Linked DNA regions of Pelodiscus sinensis. The protein of the gene in region 2 purifies or fractionates together with the protein of the main gene of each other region. This does not show direct contact. Links are inferred from orthologs where the notes say so. Each region holds a gene or a part of one and is shown on either strand. Other genes may lie near its edges. The genes, in order: MARK2 and ARHGEF2.

Region 1 (10,439 bases), on a different chromosome or scaffold from region 2:
ACGATTTCACCAAGTAAAAACAGCCTGGCCAAACAAGGTAATACAATACAACCCCTGTTTACTGGAAATATTTCTGGGATAGCAAAAGCATTTGGATAATTGAGAAGAATAGACAAATCTGTTGGAAGGGGTTAGAATGGGCAAAGACGCTGCGAAAAGGGAGTTTTGTGTTAGAGGAAACAGTTTGATACTAAGTTGGTACCTGTATATGTTGAACCTCTCTTGTCCAGCATCCTCAGGACATGATTGGTGCCAAACCAGAGAATTTTCTGGATTACGGGAGGACAATATTGTCTAGCTGCATGACCAACATTTCCACTGCTTACTGGATTCTCAGAAGGCATTTGGGGTAAATTAGAGCTAAATAACTGCACAGAACACTGAGAGCCAGGACTGGTAGCTGAACACAAACTTCATGTGACTACAGGAAACTTGGCCACACCCATAATAAGTGGAGAACCAGCTAACTAAAATCATGCCGGACCACGGAAGTTACCGGACCAGAGAGTGCCAGACTAGAGAAGTTCAACCTGTTAAGCTTTTACTCAATGATGAAATATACATCAGTTTTGATGGTCCAGATGCCTGAAACAGTCATCTGCAATGTTCTAGATAAGAGAAATTACAACACTTCCTGTTTTTAACCTCAAAATAGTTGACTCTACCTTGAAAGCAAGAGGTTCTCAAGCTACATTTTCCACTAGAAACAGTTTTTTAGACAAGGCACACCTCAGTTTTGATCATGAAAAGCCACTACCACACAACAAAGAGAACTTTGGCAAAGTTTTGCTCTTCAGTTTAGATGATCAGTTTAGGATGGTTAATAGCTCTCTGGTCAAAACAAACCAAGGGTGGAAATGTCAGGACTAGGGATGTCAGGACTAGGGATGTGAACAGTTAACTGGTTACAGTTAACCATCACCTTTAAAGGTGAGCTGCTCCCAGCTCAGCCGGAGCAGCTCCTGCCTGCGGGGGAGGAGGAAAAGGATTTCAACCTCTGCTTCTCCCTACTCCTTTTTTAATCAGTTAACCAGTTAAACATAGTGTTAATGCTGCGTTTGAAAATTAAACAGGATTTTACATCCTAGTCAGGATTTAGCTAAGTTGGTAGAGCTGTGTGGAAAAGGATTCTGTACAAGCCCCCTACCCTGCCTCTGATGCTGTTATCTTCTTAAAAACACAAGATGACCCCAAAGTGAAAAAGCAACAAGAGATGGAGATGCACTATAGTTTGCCTTCCTTGGTTTCAGTTCTCTGACATCTCCACAATTCCCTCTTAACACTGCCACAAAGATAAATTCTTATATTATTGATCATTCAGATTCCTGCCAACTCTCCAGACCTCTAGTTTTAACGGAAGAAGATGACTGAAATCTTGGCTCTGAATTATGTTCTGCTTTTGCCTTTATTATGCACCATAATAATCTACTTGCAACCCTCCACCCACAAAGAAAACAGGGAAGGACACAGCTAAAGAAGCCTAAATCATTGACAGCCGGTCTGAAGTGTCAGTCTGAGATCTGAATTCTCATTATCCAGCCATTCATACAGGGATAAGGGAAGCAGAAGCTTTATTTTTATGCTTTAGCAATTTAAAGTTAAGGCAGCTGAAGAGAGATCATGGAAACAGCTTTAGATCAATTGTGCTTAAATGTCAGCCAAATTTAGTTATTTTGAAGAAACTGTTAAGAACGCCAGATGAAATGAGACCAGTTAATAGAAACAGAGGGAGCTGATCCCCATTCTGAAGCTGTATTCCTGCTTGTTTAAAGGTACCAGAGAAGAAAATTCTATTAATTCTAAGAAGCACCAGGGCATGTTTTGAAACCAGGACCAACTTCACCAACATAAAGCATACATTAGTGGTCAAAGGGCAGCTAGGGCCCTCTTAGCCACACAATACACAAGCGTACATACACAATTCCACACCTCCTCAAGCTTCATTAGTAATGGGGATACAACCACATTAGGGATGCAATAGTGTAGTTGATTAACCAATAAGAAAAAGCTTATAGGTTAATGCTACAGACTACATGCATTCCCTCCGCTGGGCAGTAAATTTGTTAGCAGTATGGTGAGCAGCCTGTCTCAGTCCTGGCTCGTGACAGGTATGAGACCTACCCCCACTGTAGCTCTGCATTTAAAGTGTATTATTAGGAGGTAGGTGGGCAGGCAGCTTGGCTCAGTTCTGGCTCACAATGAGTCCAGGAGCTCAGACCTCTTCCCACCATGGACAGGGGCTGCTGCCTCCCCTATATTAGAGGCAGCAGCACAGGGCAACAAACAGCTGGTCCACAAGAGAAGTTGGTTTTTAAACTGGTTCCCCTCACAGACCAGCACCCACTTGGCACCTGCCCCCCGCCTCCCCCCAGGACTATAGAATAGTCGAGTAATCAATAAGAATTCATGAGGTTACTTGACTATTCAGTTAACCAATATTTAACATCCCTAAACTACATAGCCATCTCAAGACTGGGAGTGAAGCCCATTTTTAAAATACCTTTGCTTTGGACAAAGATAAGGAGGAGACTAAGTAGCATATGGCATCAACCACTTAGAATGAATCAGACTTCATGGAAGGAAGGCTGTTAGTGCAAGTGAAATACTCTTTACAAATAAAGTCCAAAACCATGTTTTGATTACCTTATGCAGCTAAACACAACAGCCAGAGAGATCCTGGCTGCACAGCCAGTCCCTTCTTTTCTCCACAAATCACCTAAAAAAAAATTACTGACTATGGGAAGTTCATGTCTACAGCAGGTCTCGACTCACAAGGGTCATGAGGATTAAAACAGGTTAGATTTGTGTGTCTTTATGAGCTGTTTCTTAAATTCAGTTGGGAATGCAATTTGCTCACTAGTTGTCATCTCTCACAAATGCACCCCTGAAAAAGCAAACCACCACCATGTCACCAGGCATCTTGAGCTGCAAATGAATGAGGCACTTGAGAGGTAAACCTAATAAGGGCATAGGGGAATAATGAGTGAGCATGGAAGTGGGATCTTCCTTCACTATGAAAGCCAAGGAAGGACCTGATGTGATATGGAGCAGCAGAAAAGGCAAAGAGAGGCAGAGCAGGGGGCCATTTCCCTTGCCCATTCAAAACCCCCATCATTCAGCATGGGCTGATGAGGCAATTAATATATGGGAGGGGAAGGAAAGATGGAAAAGATCCCTGCTCCCAATTGCTCATGCATGCCACAGGGAATAAATCAATCCACTGCTCTCTTCTTCCCATTTCAGGGAGATTGAAAGTGGAGCATTAATGCACAGAAGTGGATTACAGCCACTCCTGCATGGACCACTCAGCCTATGGGAATAAGAACTATATAGATATTTATTTGTATCATCCTGCCGCATGCCTCTCTTTCACCAGGGAATCATTACAGGGTTCCAAGTGTCCCTGCATCCACTTTGAGGGAAGATACACAGGGGATCTGTAGCTCTGTGCACAGAGCAGATACATAGTAGTCTCTCCCTTATTTGTCTCAATATCTCATTCTCCATTGACAGCAGTTAGTGATGAAGTACTGGGTATGTGGGAATACATATAATCTCTTCCCTGATCTGCACTATCTCCAGTAGGTACACTATAGACCACAGAGTTTGGGAGGCATGAAGGGACTTACTAGGTGGAAGATACGTATACATACACAGGGGATTCTGTAGGAATCTCCTCTCCTGCCTTCCTGCTCCACATGCCCCATCACAGGGAAGACCAGATGGACCCTTAAGGACTCAAGAAGGATGCATATCGATCTATGAAGAAGGAGGTTCCCACCCCTCACTTAACCATTAGAAGCACAGGATGGGGAGCTGCAGGGCATGGGGTATTACCCACCCTATAGTCAATGCTTGCTCTATCTCCCCCCACCCGGAGCAGGGAACCCCTCTCCTGCCCCCCTGCATTCCCTTCCCTCAGCAAAATACGGCATCCCGCCCTCCCTGCCTCGCTCCCTCCCTCCCTCGGGTTAGGGGCCCCCCAGCCCCCTACCTGTTCCGTGTCTCTCTCATTCACGGTGGGGAGGGGGCTCCGGCCGCTGCTCGACATCTTGGGCCCCCTTGGCCAGCGGCTCCTGGGGCTCCGGCGGTTCCTGGGGCTCTCCTCACACCGGGGGGGGCGGCCAGGCCACCACCATGGGGGAGCCCAAAGGGGGAGGGGGGATTCAGGGAGCCGGAAACCGCCGGGACTCGGACATGGGTCTCCGCCGGGCCGCGATGAGGGAAGCCCGGCCCGGCGGCTCAGGCGAACCCGGGGATGAGGCGCAGGGACCAGGCCGCGCCGCCGGCAGCCAGGCGTACGCGTGAGCGAAGGCTGCACAGAGCCGGGGCTGAGGAGACCCGGAGGCCGAGTGCCCCTGGCCGAGCCGCCTTCTCCGCCCCGAGACCCGGCTCCCCTCAGCGCATCTCACATTCACACAGCAGCAGCGGCAGCAGATCCCAACATGGCCGCCGCCACCGGCCTTCGGCCATTTCCGCCCCCTTCCGGAAACATCCGAGCCGCTCGTCGGAGCCAGTTTCCGCCGGTTCCGGAAACCCCAGCCCCCAACCCCTTCTCGGCAGCTTCCGCCGTCTGACGGAAACTCTCGATTCACCCTCCCTGTCATCGCCAGTTCGCGCCTCCTTCCGGAAACATCCGAAACAGCAGGCGCGGCCCCTTTCGCGATCGGTCACTTCGCCTCCTTCCGGATAAACCCGAAGTTCGCCTTCGGGACAGCAATCGGACACTTCCGGATGAGCGCCCGAGAGTAACCGAAGGCTGAAGATCGGCAGTTTCCGGAATATTCCCCGCCCCCTTGCTGACGCTCTTTTCGGCAATTTCCGGAAACCAACGAACAAGCCGAAGAGGTTTCGACTCTTTCCGCCTTTCCAAGGCGAATAACCGAGCCCGGGGGCGAAAACAGGAGGAGCCGACTAGCCTCGGCTATTTCCGCAAATGTGGTTTGCGCGAGCCCCCGAGGGGGCTTATTCTCCCGTGCGGAGGGGAGCCAGGCTAAAGAGGAGGAAGATTAAATCAGCCATTTGGGTAAATGGGCGCACAAGGATGCACACCCGGCACACAACGGATTGAGTCGCTATGCGCTCACGTACACACCGCATCGTGCAAACATGCACAAGTGTGTGTGTACACCTGGGCGCGTCACACACACACCTGCAAGTGCAGCTGCATAGACACACGGCCTAGGCCTGCAAGTGCCCGTGCCCAGCCGGAGAGGTCCTCGCACTCGCACTCCCATCTGCACCTGCGCTTCATGCGCCCCCTGGAGACGCAAGACTCACCCGTAACGCCCCTCCCCCCGCGCGTCCCTGCCTCACCCACCTACAGCACAGGGTTCCCCCCCCCCGCTCCCAGTGGTCTCTTCCGTGCATGGGGGCTGGCGCTACCCAACCGCCCTCCTCCCCCGCGCGCGCAGTGACGTTCCGAAGCGACGAGACCCCGCCTTCTCCCGGTTGCTACTGCCAAGCCTCGTCACCCAGCCCCACGGGCTGATGTGCGCTAGCGGCGCCACCTGCTGTGAAGCGGTGGAACTGCAGTTGGTGCCGGCCGGCAGCAAAGGCTGACGCAGCTGGCGCTTAGCACCCACTGCAGCGTCCTGGAGATGCGATGGGAGCTGACTGCTGCTGACGACGTGCAGCGCCCCAGTTAGCCGGAGCCGGAGTGTACGAGCTCCAGGAATTGGCAGGGGGAGCCCTCGCATGGCTTGCACATGGCCACAGCTGCATGCAGTGCACACACACAGACAATCTGGGTCCCCACTGCCTCTTTCACACACTTCCTGGCTGGGCTGCACACACAAACATCTGCATATCCACAGATGCTCACTGCTGCATGTACAATCATGCACACTCACATTGGTACAGGCCCATAGTGGCAATCACATACAGTACGGGTGGGGAACCTCAGGCCCAGGGATCAGATGTGGACCCCGGCTTGCCCGGATCCGGACTCCGAGATTCAGGGACTCCCCTGCACTGGGGAGCCTGTGCTGGTGCTCCAGTGCCCCCTCTCCCTCCACTGCCCAACCACAGGGCTGGAGAACACAAAATCTACTAGGCTGGGCCCGCCAGGCTCTGGTGTGCAAGGGCAATGTAGGGAGTGTCTTTCTCCTCAATCAGCCGCTTCAGTGTGTGTGTTTTGTGTGTGGCCCTTGACTGATTTTTCTATGGGTCACATGGCACCAGACCCAAAAAAAGTTCCCCACCCCTGACATACGGGAATACTCCAACAGCTACAGATACCCACCCACAATGACATGCAGATGCATCCATAGCTTCATGCACATGGACACATCTGCAGCTGCATGCATACACCTATAGTTGCATGCATGCTCATGTAAATTTGTGCACACACAAAAATACACATCTGCTTGCACAGCCATGTGCACACACTCAAGCACTCCTACCCTGAGTCACAGCTGCCTACACACACCTGTGCAATGTTGATGTGCAAACACATCCACATACCTTCCCAGAGTCTCAGCTGCATGCACATACTCACACCTACATGCACACACTTGTGCAATATCTCTGCATCCACATACACACTAGAGCAGGGGTTCTTATTGCATCACAAGCCCCCTTCTGACAATAAAGTTAATGCATGATCCGGGGGGGAGAGGTTGGAGCCTGAATCCCACCACCCTGGGTGGGAGGAAAGGGGTCCACAGTCCAAGCCCCACTGTCCTGGGTGGGGTGGAGCATGTGCTTCAGCTTCAGCCCTGGTTCCCAGCAAGTCTAATGCTGGTCCATGCAACCACAGTTTGAGAAACACTGTACTAGAGGATGCTCATATATCATGTAGCCAACATTAGCACCACCAAGTGGGACTGGCTGATGCTTGCATTTGTGAATTGTTCCCAAATCTGGGTCTCTGTTGATCTTCCCCCAGAACCAAATATCCTGTAAAGAGGTAGAGATTCCAGTCAGAGAGCTAGGGCATAGTGAGCTAGCAAAGAAGCAAGTCAGGCCTCCAGTGCAGTGCAACACCAGGAGGATTATCAAAACTGTTGTGTTCAAACACACCATGACACATTGCACACTGCAGCAGAGCTACACACTGCCTCTCTGCTTAGCAGCTTGGCACACAGCACTACATCAGCAAGGAGGGACTGCTGATGAGGCCAGTTCCCCAGGGATCCCTAGCCAGATTGCATATGTAGCACACCAAGCAAAATTTTCAGCCTACCACTGGAGGGCCCCAGTCATGAACAGAGCTTCATGCCGCTCTTGAATGTCCGTCCAGAATCACGCAGTGGGGAACTACTTTGTGCAGCTTTATTGTTGTTCTGTGTATCCACGATCGTCTGGACCAAGATCAAGACCCCATTGTGTTGTGGCTTCACAAACTGACCAAGATCAGGGTCTCCATTGTGCCATAGGCTGCATAGACACAACCTCCCCCCCAGCTGAAATCACAGCACTATAGGAAAGGCAGCGTGGGCCCCTAAGAGCTTAAAATCTAAACAAAGGTTGGGGGGAGATATGCAGGCCCAGAGACGAGAAGGCCCTTTCCCCAAGGTCAGTGGCAGAGCTGGGAACAATTCCCAAGCATCCTGAGTTCCAACCCAGTGCCCTACTCACTGGGTCCCATTATTCCCCAGGGCCATGGTTTGCAAACCTAGAGGCAAAGGGAGAGCCAGAGCTTGGACCCAAGAGTGTTGACTCAGAGCAGCCTGTGTTTAATAGCAGCTAGGGCTTGTTGAGCCAGCCTGACCTGCTTGGAAGGAGGTTACTTTGGCTTTCTACTCCTGTCTCAAACCCCTGAGTCCTGGGGTTGATGCCAGGGATAAGGAATGCCCCATAGCAGCCAGGAGGTGCAGAAAAATATGGTCCCTCATCCCTTGTGGCTTCCAAGGGAGCAAAGAATGTGCAATATGGGGGCAGGAGACTGCGCCACTCAGCTGCCAACAGGGGCAAGGTTGCTGTCCAGCAGAAACACCTTCCAATCAAAATTGAAGGGAACTGGGGAAAAGCAGATCGCAAAGGAACTAGTCCTAGGTTCCCTGGGGGATCAATTGCAGGCTGGCCAGCCAGTAGTTCGTTGTTCTCCTGATTTGTTGGGGCTTCCTCAGGAACCAGGGGCTGGGCTCTGGAGTGTTTGCCGTGGATGATTTATGACGGCCATGGAGAGAATGGTCCTTGCAGCAAAAGGCACCTCAAGGGCTGGAGCGGGCAGCAGAAGACAGTCAGCAGGCTGGAGGGAAAGCCAAAGAGGGGGGACAGAAGGAAACCTAGAGGCTGGGGAGAGGAGGCAGGAAAGGAAGGAAGCCTGCTGGCTGGAGGGGGGCTGTGAGTCAGGATTCCCCCACCCCCACCCCAGCTCTGCCTTAGAGTAGGAGTTTCCAACTATGTAGCCCCATCGCGGCAAGAGGGAGGTGCTAGTGGCGCAGTCACATGGTCAGATGGAGGAGGGAGGAAGCTGCTCTGCTGTTAACTCTTTCTTGTTCTGTCCCTTCTCTGGCTGCTGGACTGAGGGAGACTCAGCTTTCCCTGCTGCAGAGGGTGGTGCTGAACACCAATGGGGGGGGAGTTTTTGTGCACTGGGAGAGGGTTTTGTAGGGACCATAAGAAGGAGCCCTGCTCCCGGTGGAGAACCAGAGCAAATCAATGTCTAAAGCCAAGGCAGGAAGGAGCAAGACACTCCCACCACCGGCTGGCATGGCCCTGGGGATCATTAGAGGCACCACACATGCTGTCCCCCCTCTGGGTCCTTTGTCCCATCCCCAGTCTTGTATGCCTTGGACCCCCTCTACTCTAGCCCCATCAAGCCCCCCAGTCCTGTGCCCCCCAGACCACTTCCCTCCAGCTCCCTCTGAGTCCCCCCAGTTCTGTGCCCCCAGACCTCTCCCCCTCCATCCTATTCTGAGCCCTCCAGCCCCCTCTGAGCCCTCATAATTCTGTAACCACAGACTCCTTCCCCACCAGCCCCCTCTGGGCCTTCCAGCCTTCTCTGAGCCCTCCCCCCCAGTTCTATGCCCTCAGACCCCTTTCCCTCCAGTCCCCTCTGAATCCCCCAAATCTGTGCCCTCCAAATCCCTTTCCCCTCCAGACCCGTCTGAAACCCCCTCAATCCTGTGACCCCAAACCCGTTCCCCACCAGCTCCCTCTGAGTCCCAAGGCCTGTGTTCCCCAGGCCCTTTCTTCTCCAATGAGTTCCTCTCTAATGTGTTCCCCACTGATCCCCCTAGTCCTATGTCCCCTAGACCACTTTCCTTGGCCCTGTTACCCCCTACTACGTCTGCATCCTAACCCCCTCCCTCCCAGGGAGGTGAGGGATGCAACCCCTGTGGTCAAGGGTAGGGTTCATATGCCCCAGTGTATTATGGGCAGGGGCAACCCCTATAGTTGCTCCCAGCCCCATGTATTATGGGTGGAGGCACCTCCCCAAGGCTGTTCCCAGGCCCTGTTGCCTTTTGAGTGGAGGGAGCCCTTGGGATTCTTCTGGGCCCCGTTGTGCTGTAGAGGATTGACACCAGCCTGGGACTGTAGCAAGAGAAAAAGGGCCAAACGCCCATAATCCCCCTGCCCACTGGGTCCCAGAATCGTCAGGATGCCAGAGTCACCTGTGAACAGGATCCTCCTTCCCCTCTGCATGGAAGCACACTCCCAGCAGCAGGGATGCAGTGCCAGCTCCTAACCAGCAGGGGCATCCCCCCAGATGGCAGCAGGGAAGACAAAAGTCAAAGGGGAGGGGGAGGAACAGGCCAATTGTTACTGCTCAGGAGAGGGCCTTGCCTCCTACTGCCCCACTGCAGAGAACTCCATGGGCCCTGGGTGGGATACAGAGAAGCCCCAGGCCATCCCCCACAGACTGAATAAGATCCCCCCCCAAATATGAGCCCCCCCAGGAAACACAAACAGAACGTCCATATGCACCCCACAACTTTCCCCCAAGAAGCCACGGCCAAGGTGGGCTGGGATTTAGGGGTATCTGCAGGGCTGGGCTGGTACAGCCAGGTGGGGAAATTAGGATTTTCAGTTTTATGCTCTTCTCCCAGTGACTCCCCCCCAATCCCAGCCATCCTATCCACAGGGGGCTCTAAGTACAGGCTGCAGGAGGGATGAGTGGACACACTAATTCACTCAATTGCATCCATGCAATACAGGAGGGTGCCATGGGGTGCAATGCATAAGAGGACGACCAGGAGTGTGCAAGTTCCCAGGCACCCAGTGCCCAAGGATGCACTGGACGAGTGGATGGGAGGCCAGCAAGGCTGCCCCCACCTGGATGCAAAATACACAGCTGCATAGGGCTCCATGAAATTTGGGGCACCACATTGCCTTACATTGTGTGGTTCTTACACAGCTGCCTGCTGCGTATGGGGCAGCGCTGGCTCCAGTGACCAGCCCCATCACTCGGTTGCCCCCCAACAGGTTGCACCCATCAGGGCCACCCCTGGGGGGGGAGGATGGGACCTGGAACAATCCAATTCCGTCCC
Region 2 (9,504 bases):
TATAGAATAATCGACTAACCAATAAGGTTATTCGACTATTCAATTAACCGATATTTAGCATCCCTAGTGTGAATGGGCACCACCAGGAGAAAGAACACACCTAGCTTTGGGCGCTCTGCTAATCAGCTGGGAGGCTGCACAAGCGCCAAGCTTACAGAGACCACAACCTCCCCCTGCCCAGGAAAAGGCACTGCCAGAGGGATGTACCTTTGGGAGCCACACCGCTTGGGATGAGTGCTGACCCCTGGCCCTCTTCCACACCTCAATCACCTGCGCCAACCTAGTTCCCAGCTCTCACACCCAAACTCCCTTCCAGAGTCTGCACTCCACACCCTCTCCCTCACCTAAACTCCCAACCCGACCTGGTGAGAGTGAGAAGGTGAGGAAGTGAGAGCCAGAGGCAGGGGCAGGGATGGGGAGAGTGTGACTGGGGCCTCGGAGAAGGGGCAGGACAGGGGGCAGAGTAAAGGTTTTAGGGTTTACACAGTGATATAGTTGGCAACCCTCGCTAGCTCCCAGATCCATTGAAAAAGACAGAGAGAATTTTCCTACCAGCACCACAAGATCAAAAACACCCCTTCTGCTCTTTGTAGTGTTGTTATTAGTACAACAGCACAGCGACCACGGCTGAGATCAGGGTTTGATGGTGTTAGGCACTGCACTGACACCTAGGACGGGACAGTCCCTGTCTTGTATCTAAAACCAGGACAAAGGAACTAACCTTATTAAAATAATTAATCCCATTTTACAGATAGGCTGTTGAGGCCTGAGATGGATAGGAGGAGCACTGGCTCCTCATAGTGACTAGAGGGTTAAACTCAGGTAGCTAGGGGATGTTGGCGGAAAGACAGTTGAAATGTAAATTGAATAGAGATACTTGGTTGCTCTTCCTTTGTGTGAGTTCTAAATTAGCAGCTGGAGGAAACAAGATGAAGTAATCAAACAGAAAGACCATGCTTACAAGAAAAATTGGGTACGGGAATAGACGGGGCCTTGAAGTACAGATCAGTATGGATCATGAGTAGATAGAAGAATATATATTTAATCACAACCAGGGGTTTTGTTTTTTTTTATTTTGTAGTTTAGTTAAACTTTCTGGGTGAACTTCCTTTCCCCATATCCAAGCTACAGCTCAAAGGACTATGTTTCTTTGTGGTTTGATCTGTTCTTTTCTTTGTTGCTCTATAAAACACCTAGCAACCAAGTGCACTTTATCAAGTCTACCTTTTTGTTTTATTAATAAAATCACCTTTTTAATGCAATGATTTGATTCTTGTGTCTGGAAAGTAACAGAAGGTCTTTGTGTGCGCCTGCCTAGCCCGAGGGGTCAGCTATCAGAGAGACAGTTTGTTTTCTGTGTTTTTTTGTTTATTTTTTCAAGTTATCTTGTGGCAAAAGAGCTCGGGGGTACCTCTTGGGAAGAAGTTCAAGTGTTTCTTCCTGGTTTTCAGGATTTTTCTTAATTCACTTGATGGTGGCAGCCTCTTTCTCAAGGCCAGGAAATCTGTAACCTTAGGGAGTTTGGGGTTTTTTTAAAGCAGAAGCCTATAGGGGCAAGGTATTTAAGATCCCTTGCAGGCCCCCACCTTCTTCACTTGGAGTGCCAAAGTGGGGAACAGCCCTGACAAGACCCAGAAGGATTAAAGGTATGTGTCTAGACTGCAGGTGCTGGTCACCACTTCACTGTTCTGGGACCGGAGCAAGCTGGACTACGATGCCTCAAGCAGAAATCACATCCACTCACTAGACATAAACTAAGTGATTTGCCCAGGGTTGCACAAAGAGCCTGTGGCAGAGCCAAGAATTGAAATCCCAGGCAGCTGGGCACTTGTGCAGCCGCTCGGGAGAGATTCAAATGCTGCCCAGCCAATTAGCAGAGTGCGCACAGTTAAGCTTTTTGTTTCTATTGGTGGTGCACATTTGCACATGCCTTGGTGCAAATAAAAAAATATTCTGCACATGGAAAAGATTAGAGGAAATATTGTAAGCTGTTCCAATTGGGGCCAATCTAAAACAGACAGGGCAAGATGGAAACTGTGGCGCAGAGAGGGGAAGTGACTTGCCCAAGGTCAAGCAGCAGGTCAGTGGCAGCGCCAGGAATAGAACCCAGCCTTGCTGAGACTCGGCCCAATTCCCTCTCCACTAGATCATGCTGCCCAGCTTCAGCGCCATGCCTACCAGCCCTGCTCATCCCCAATCAAAGAACCAAAGTGCCAAAGCAGGCCCATCCCGCCCCAGGCCCTACTGTGCATTCACCTCTCTGGGGGATCAGCCCCACCTCATTCTAGCTGCCCCAGACTCACCCTCTGCACCTGCTGTTGGAAAGACCTGTTCCCGTCTCTGCTTGGATGCCTTCCGCGCTCGCGGCCAGCCTGCCAGCTCCTGTTTCTCCCCTGCTGTACAAACTTCCTAGCTACCGCCCCGGTCCAACGGGATGAACTCAGACGCTTTCCTGTTTTCGAGTTCCCAGACGCTGTCAGCTGATAAGAACTTTCCGCCCCTTCGGCCCGTTAGCTGCTGACAGCTCTTGATTGAATTGTCCTAGGCCAGTTACCAATTGTCCATATGTAGGGATGGGCCAACAACGGGAGGGGAGTATGAGCTAGTGGTTAAAGGCGGGGTGGGACAGGGAGACCTGGCATCCATTCCCAGGAAGAGGCGTCTAGCAATTCAAGCTTGGGGGAGGGAAGACTGGAATCCAGTCCCAACTCTGGAAGGGGAGTGTGACTTAGGCCAAAATGGAGGGCTGGGAGTCAGGATTCCTGGTAAATTTAGCCCTCTTGTCAATATAGGGGAGTGTAACAGGGGATGGATCTGGAAACAGGACTCCTGGGGTCTACCCTCAGCTCTGGGATGTGTGGATTGTTTAGTGGTTAGAGCAGGGAACTAGGACTCCCCTTTGGCTGGAAACATCGAACCGGAGCCATGAGCTACGGAGCATTTAGGTAAACAAAGCAGCGCAGGCCCACTAGCGGCTTTCCCAAAGCCGGCCCACAGCCCACTGGGAGAAACACTGCTCTAGGAGCCCTGGGGGAAAGCCTATGTCACCACTCAGCATGCTGGCCTGAGCCAGCGAGGAGCTGAGGGCAGGGGGCGGTAGCCCATGGAAACCTAGCGGAAGTATACAAGACAACAGGATTCCAGCTTGGGTGGACAGGCCAGTCTCCCTTTCCCTAGACAACCCTTCCAGGAAGCCAGTGCCCATCTCAGAATCAGGCCAGTGACTGCAAAGCAAAGCAAGGCTTGCTTCCCCCGGCAGGGCTGGCATGACTACATGTGTGCTGTGTCCCCATCCGGAGGCTGCTGTGATGGAGGATAATGGTTTACTACTGCTGCCAGGGAGCAGAGCGACTCTCTTAGCTCAAGCGGTGGAATTCATTGTGGTGGGTGGCTCTGCTGGAGAGAGACCGAAAAGAAATTGTACTACCAAATGAGGAGCTCAGAGCACTGAATTAGCTCCCCTCAAATCCTCTTTGGGGGTGGGGGTGGGGAAAGACAGCTCTCTTCTATTAGACTCTACAGAAGTTATTGTGCCTTCTCTTACTATTTTAATTTTTGGAGCACCTAGGAACCCCAGTCATGCCTGAGACCCCATTGTAAACACAGACACCCCCTGTATGAAATGACAGCCCCTGCCCCAAAAAGACTGCAATCCAAGTACCTTCCTCTGCCCAATTGCATGTCAGCTCCTTCTAGGAGTGAATTAAGCAACCTAGCAGCTAGCTGCCATGGTTTTTTCTCTCTCTCACCTTCTCCCCCCAGGGGAGGATCAAATATTGTTTTGGCTAGGTTGGAGGACAGTGAGGTGGAGGGGGGCTACATATGGGGAGATTAAGGCAAAGGGAGAGGAAATGACTTGCTAAAGGTCATCTAGGAAAATCAGTGGCAGAGCAGGGAATCCAAGAGTCCTGGCTTCCAGTCATATACTTCTCTGTCACTGCCACAAACAGAACACAAGAGTCCTGGCGTCAAGTCACCTGCTCTAACAGGCAGGCCCCACACCTCTCCTAGAGCCAGGAATGCAGCTTCACTCCTGTCACAGAGTGTGGGGTAGTTACCGAGCCCTGCACCCCCATCCGCAGTCAGATGTGAGACTCAGCCAACAAGTAGAACAGAAGGTGTATTTGTTGACAGGGACACGGCATAGCAGACTTGTTACAGGAACCAGGAGCTTTCAGTACAATCCATCTTAGGGACGAGGGGGCCCAGAGCCCCCCAAGCCAGCTACACTCCCTCCTCCCTACAGCAGCAGAAAACTAAACTCACACACCCAGCAACTGGTCTCAGCCTTCTAGGCAGCCCCGCCCCCTCCTTTGTTCCGATTCCCCAGCAAAGGTGTTATCTCCTATCACCTGGCTCTCAGGTGTGAGACCAAATTCACTTCTTCAGTGAGTCATGCTCCCCCCCCCCCCCCATTCCAGGCAATGTTGAACTGCCCAGGGAAACTGAGGCACACACGCACACACACATCCCCCCACCATCACTCCAGAACAGCATAGGACAGTAGAATCACACATGACCCAACAAAGCAAACAGCATGAATACAGTGACTTTCAGCAACTGCAAGAGTGAATACAGTTCCCGCTACATCACAACTCCCCACCGAGGACCCTACCCCCAAGCCCACGTGGCCTCCTTCTAAAACTGATCAAAACAAGTAACTAAGAACAGCGCGGCCCTGCCCGGCCCTGCGTGCCTCCTGCCTGTACCTTTAGTAGAAGCGACAGTCATTCTAGTTCAGAACAGGACTCGGAAGGGAGCTCAGACAAGCACGTCCTACCCCGCATGGCACTGCGTGTGCGGCTGGGGAATGTAAACAGGCTTGAGAGCAAAGCTGCTGAGAGGGGGAGGAACAGGCGCACGCACAAAAATGCCCGGGGTGGGGGAGGGGTGGAGAAGAGGGATTTAGGAGGCTGGAGAGAGACATCAAGGGCTCAGACTACGGACCAGAGTTGGAACAGCCAACGGCTCCCAAGCCTGGCCCAAGTTCTCTTCGAAATCAGGATGGGACCAATTGTGAGTGGATAGAACACCCCCCTCCCCACATGTGCCACTATAGGTCGCTGTTGGAGATGAGACACTAGCTGGATCTGACTAGGCTGGGGATTCCCCTGTATTCCAGATCTCCTCTAGAATGGGACCAGATTCCCATGAACAGGGACCCAGTGGTCCAGGGAAGAAAGTCCCAGGAACTGGACAACCGCTGATAGGAAGTATGTGTGTGTGTGCATGGAATGGCCACCAGCTTGGCACCAGGGATCAAACTAGGGCCTGCAAGCGTTTAAAGTGGGAGCTAAACAGCCAAGCCACCCTAGCGCGGGGGGAGGGGGGGGGTTACAGACTCATACCCACTATGCGCCAGCGCTCACTTTGCAAGGGAGCCCTCATCACTTGCCTAAAATTAGAAGCCTTCCCCAATTTTCTGACTCCAGTCTGAAAACTAACCATAGTCTCAGAATGTTCAAATGAGCCATTTCAATTAGACATGCCCTAACTTTGCTCTGCCCAGTAGGCAACACTTCCCTTCTGGAGTCGAGTTAGAACCAGTATCCTGGCTCCCAGCCTCCTCCTCTCACTACTGCAGGTCATACCTCCCCTTCCACCCACCGAATCCTAGAACTGGAAGGGACCTCTAGAGATCACGTCCAGGCCCCTGCACTCATGGCAGGACCAACCAAGCACCATCTAGATCATCCCTGATACATGTCTGGCCAACCTGTTCTTAAATATCTCCAATGATGGAGATTCCACAACCTCCCTAGGCAATTTATGCTAACACTTAATCATGTGACAGTAACTTTTTCCTAATGTCCAACCTAAACCTCCCTTGCTGCAATTTAAGCCCATTGCTTCTTGTTCTATCCTCAGAGGTTAAGAAGAATAATTTTTCTCCCTCCCCTTTGAAACATCCTTTTAGGTACCTGAAAGTTGCTATCATGTCCCCTCTCAGTCTTCTCCTTTCCAAACTAAATAATCCCAGTTCTTTCAGTCGTCCCTCCTAGACCACGTTTTCTAGACCATTAATCCTTTTTTGTTGTTCTTCTCTGGACCTTCTCCAATTTCTCCACATCTTTCCTGAAATGTGGTGCCCAGAACTGGATACAATACTCCAACTGAGGCCTAATCAGCACAGAGTTGAGCAGAAGAACGACTTTCGTGTCTTTCTCATAACACTCCTGTTAATGCATCCCAGAATCATGTTAGCTTTTTCTTGCAACAGTGTCACACAGTTGACTCACATTTAGCTAGTGGCCCACTATGACCCCAAGTTCCCTTTCTGCAGAACTCCTTCCTAAGTGGAGCACTTTGCAATTGTCCTTATTGAACTTCATGCTATTTACCTCAGACCATTTCTCCAGATTATTTTGAATTATGACCCTATTCTCCAAAGCACCTGCAACCACACCCAACTTGGTAGCATTTGCAAGCTTTATAAGCATACTGTCTATACCAGTATCTAAACTACTGATGAAGATATTGAACAGAATTTATCCCAAAACTGACCCCTTTGGAACCCCACCTGCTATGCATTTCCAGCATGACTGTGAACCATTTTGATAAGAAGGTCATGTGAAACCGTATGAAACGCTTTACAGGCAGTCCCCAGGTTACGCAGAATATAGGGACTATAGGTTTGTTCTTAAGTTGAATTTGTATGTAAGTCGGAACTGGCGTCCAGATTCAGCCGCTGTTGAAACTGACCAGCGGCTGGCTACAGGAAGCCCGAGGCAGAGCTGCTCTGCCTTGGGCTTCCTGTAGTCAGCCGCTGGTCAGTTTCAGCAGCGGCTGACTTGGGGACCCCTGGGGCAGAGCAGCTGGAGTGCTGCCGGGTTGGTCCAGTAGCGCCGAGGAGCGGCGCTGCGGGACCAACCCGGCAGCACCCCAGCTGCTCTACCCCAGGCATCGGCGAGAAAAGCCTAGTCTGCTGGGGGGGGCGCACTAGCTGCGCCCCCCCCCCCCAGCAGACCAGGGAGACGCGGATCAAAGCTGCAGAGGACGCAGGCGGCAGGACCGCGGCGCGTCTCGGCGGTCCCGCCGCCCGCGTCTCCCTGGTCTGCTGGGGGGGCGCAGCTAGTGCACCCCCCTCCCAGCAGACCAGGCTTTTCTCGCCGCGGACCAGGTGAGAAAAGCCACTCCGCGTCTCCCTAATCTGCTGGGGGAGACGCGGAGCAAAGCCGGCAGACCAGGGAGACGCGGAGCAGCTTTTCTCGCCGCGGAGGACACGGGCAGTGGGACCGCGGTGCGTCTGGGCGGTCCCGCCGCCCGCGTCCTCCAGGGTGAGAAAAGCCCCGTTCGTATGTAGGGATCCGACATAAGTCGGATCCACGTAACTCGGGGACTCCCTGTACTAGAGTCTGGGTATACCACGTCCACTGCTTCCCCCTTTTCCACAAGACTTGATATCCTATCAAAGAAAGCTATCAGATTGGTTTGACGGGATTTGTTCTTTACAAATCCATGCTGTTACCTATCACCTTATTATCTTCCAGGTGTTTACAGATTAATTCCTTAATTGCCTGCTCCATTATCTTTCCTGGCACAGACATTAAGCTGAAACAAAAGACAGGACTATGCAGCACTTTTTTGTCTTTTGTTTCAGCAAGACCAGACTAACACCGCTACATCTCTATTACTATTAGACATTAAGCTGTGATCTGTTTCCTCATTCACCTTCAACAAAGCCTCCCAAACGGAACAGGAAGAAACCGTTCCAGCCTTGCACTGGCCATTTACAAGCTCTCCTGTCACTCTCGTGATGAGAGTTACAGCCTCGTAACATGTGGGAGATGCCTGCACTTCCTTCTTCTGTAGCCCTTGGATTTATAGAGAGAAAATGACAAGGAATTTAAAAAGAACCCAAGTGATAAATATTTTATTGGTAGGCTTGGCAGGATTCAACGTGTATGCCAACCAATAATATCAGTGTGTCATTTTTATCAATGCAAATCTTCAGAGTTGTGCCAAATTATGGGTTTTAAGCATCCCCCCATCTTGAGATATTTCAATTTTCACAGTTTCAGGGATTAATGGGGATAAGGGACAGACAATGACTGAATGACAGCAAATGCTGAGACAAACACAAGTTGTCAACACCACACACTAAAGATACACAGAGCAAGAATAAGGGATGTTAAATATTGGTTAATTGGATAGTTGAGTAACCTCATGAATTCTTATCTGTTACTCGACTATTCTATAGTCCCCGGGGGCGGGGCCAGCAGCCAGTGGGCTCCGGCTTCACTCCGTGCTGCTGCCTCTGTATCCGAGGCAGCAGTGCAGGGTGCCAAGTGGGAGCTGGCTCAAGAGGGGAGACAGCTTAAAAACCAGCTCCCCTCACAGACCGGCTGCCTGTCACCCCGTGCTGCAGCCATGGACAAAAAGGCAGCAGTGCGGAGTGGCAGCAGCCCCTGTCTAGGGCAGTTTGAGCTCCTGGACTCAGCACAAGCCTGAACTGAGCCAGGCTGCCTGCCTGCCCGGCTCCTAATACACTTTAAATGCAGAGCTGCAGCAGGGGTAGATCCCGGACCCATTGCAAGCCAGGACTGAGCCAGGCTGCTGGCCAGCCTGCTAAGAAAGTTTACTAGCCAGGCAGGGCCGGATTAAGCCCTTTAGAGGCCCTAAGCACTGAAAAGATTATGGTGCCTCCCCATATGTAATTCAAAATAAAAACAATACTATACCGTAACAATCTCTCTCTCTCTCTCTTTTTTTTTTTTTTGGTGCTCCTGCTTTGCTGGTGCCCTAAACACATGCTTAGTCTGCCTATTGGATAATCCAGCCCTGTCAGGGGCAGGGCAGCAGGGGGAGGGGGAGAGGAGAGGGAGGGAAGGGAAATGTGCATACTATAGCATTAACCTATCAGTTTTTGCTTATCAGTTAATTGACTACACTGTTAAGTATCTGAGGAAGTGGGTTTTTCCCACGGAAGCTCATGATCCAATAGATTTGTTAGTCTCTCAGGTGCCGCAGAACGGCTGGTTGCATGGTAAATATGATTAAGGTAAAATTCTCCCCAGAAGCATTTTTCTCACTTTGCCTAGCTGTCCATTTCAAATATTCTTGATGGAAATATTTTGTCCTCCTTGGGTTCGGTGAAATCAACAGCTATTGACATTTGCCAAGGCAAATCTAACCCTCCCAGCTACCTACTGGGCAGCTTTTGGAATGCCAAGAATTTGAACATGGGAAGTACTATTGTCTGGAAGCTGCAATGTTTCAGGTGGGGAGAGCTCTTTCAATCAATGCTAGTGGCGAAATTCTGACCCTGTTAAAGTCAATAGCAAAATTCCCCATAACACCCATTTTTGAAGTGGGGCCGCTTCACAAATTTCTGAAGTGGTTGTGGGCTACTCCGGAAGGGGTGGGCCTCGGGCAAAAGGGTTGGGCCCGGAATCTTACCATGCTCCCCCATCTACAGACCCTGATCGGCTGGGACAGGGGGATCCTGTGAAGTCTTTACCCTCCCATCCCCCAACACCTAGACCTAGAGACAACCACCAGCTC

What was found.
Region 1: the proteins of ARHGEF2 (region 2) and MARK2 purify together in Homo sapiens (affinity purification with western blotting; 3 studies listed by BioGRID and IntAct, with this or other methods). This does not show direct contact. The link is inferred for Pelodiscus sinensis from reciprocal best matches to the Homo sapiens genes ARHGEF2 and MARK2.

Annotation. Positions count from the first base shown.
Region 1 is NC_134721.1:33,911,960-33,922,398, forward strand, and holds the start of MARK2 (serine/threonine-protein kinase MARK2), read right to left. Parts: upstream 4,501-10,439; 5' UTR 4,052-4,500; coding exon 3,995-4,051; intron 1-3,994. UniProt on the Homo sapiens protein: Serine/threonine-protein kinase. Involved in cell polarity and microtubule dynamics regulation. Phosphorylates CRTC2/TORC2, DCX, HDAC7, KIF13B, MAP2, MAP4 and RAB11FIP2. Phosphorylates the microtubule-associated protein MAPT/TAU.
Region 2 is NC_134734.1:14,732,334-14,741,837, reverse strand, and holds the start of ARHGEF2 (rho guanine nucleotide exchange factor 2), read right to left. Parts: upstream 4,747-9,504; 5' UTR 4,732-4,746; coding exon 4,710-4,731; intron 2,419-4,709; exon of another isoform or gene 2,304-2,418; intron 1-2,303. UniProt on the Homo sapiens protein: Activates Rho-GTPases by promoting the exchange of GDP for GTP.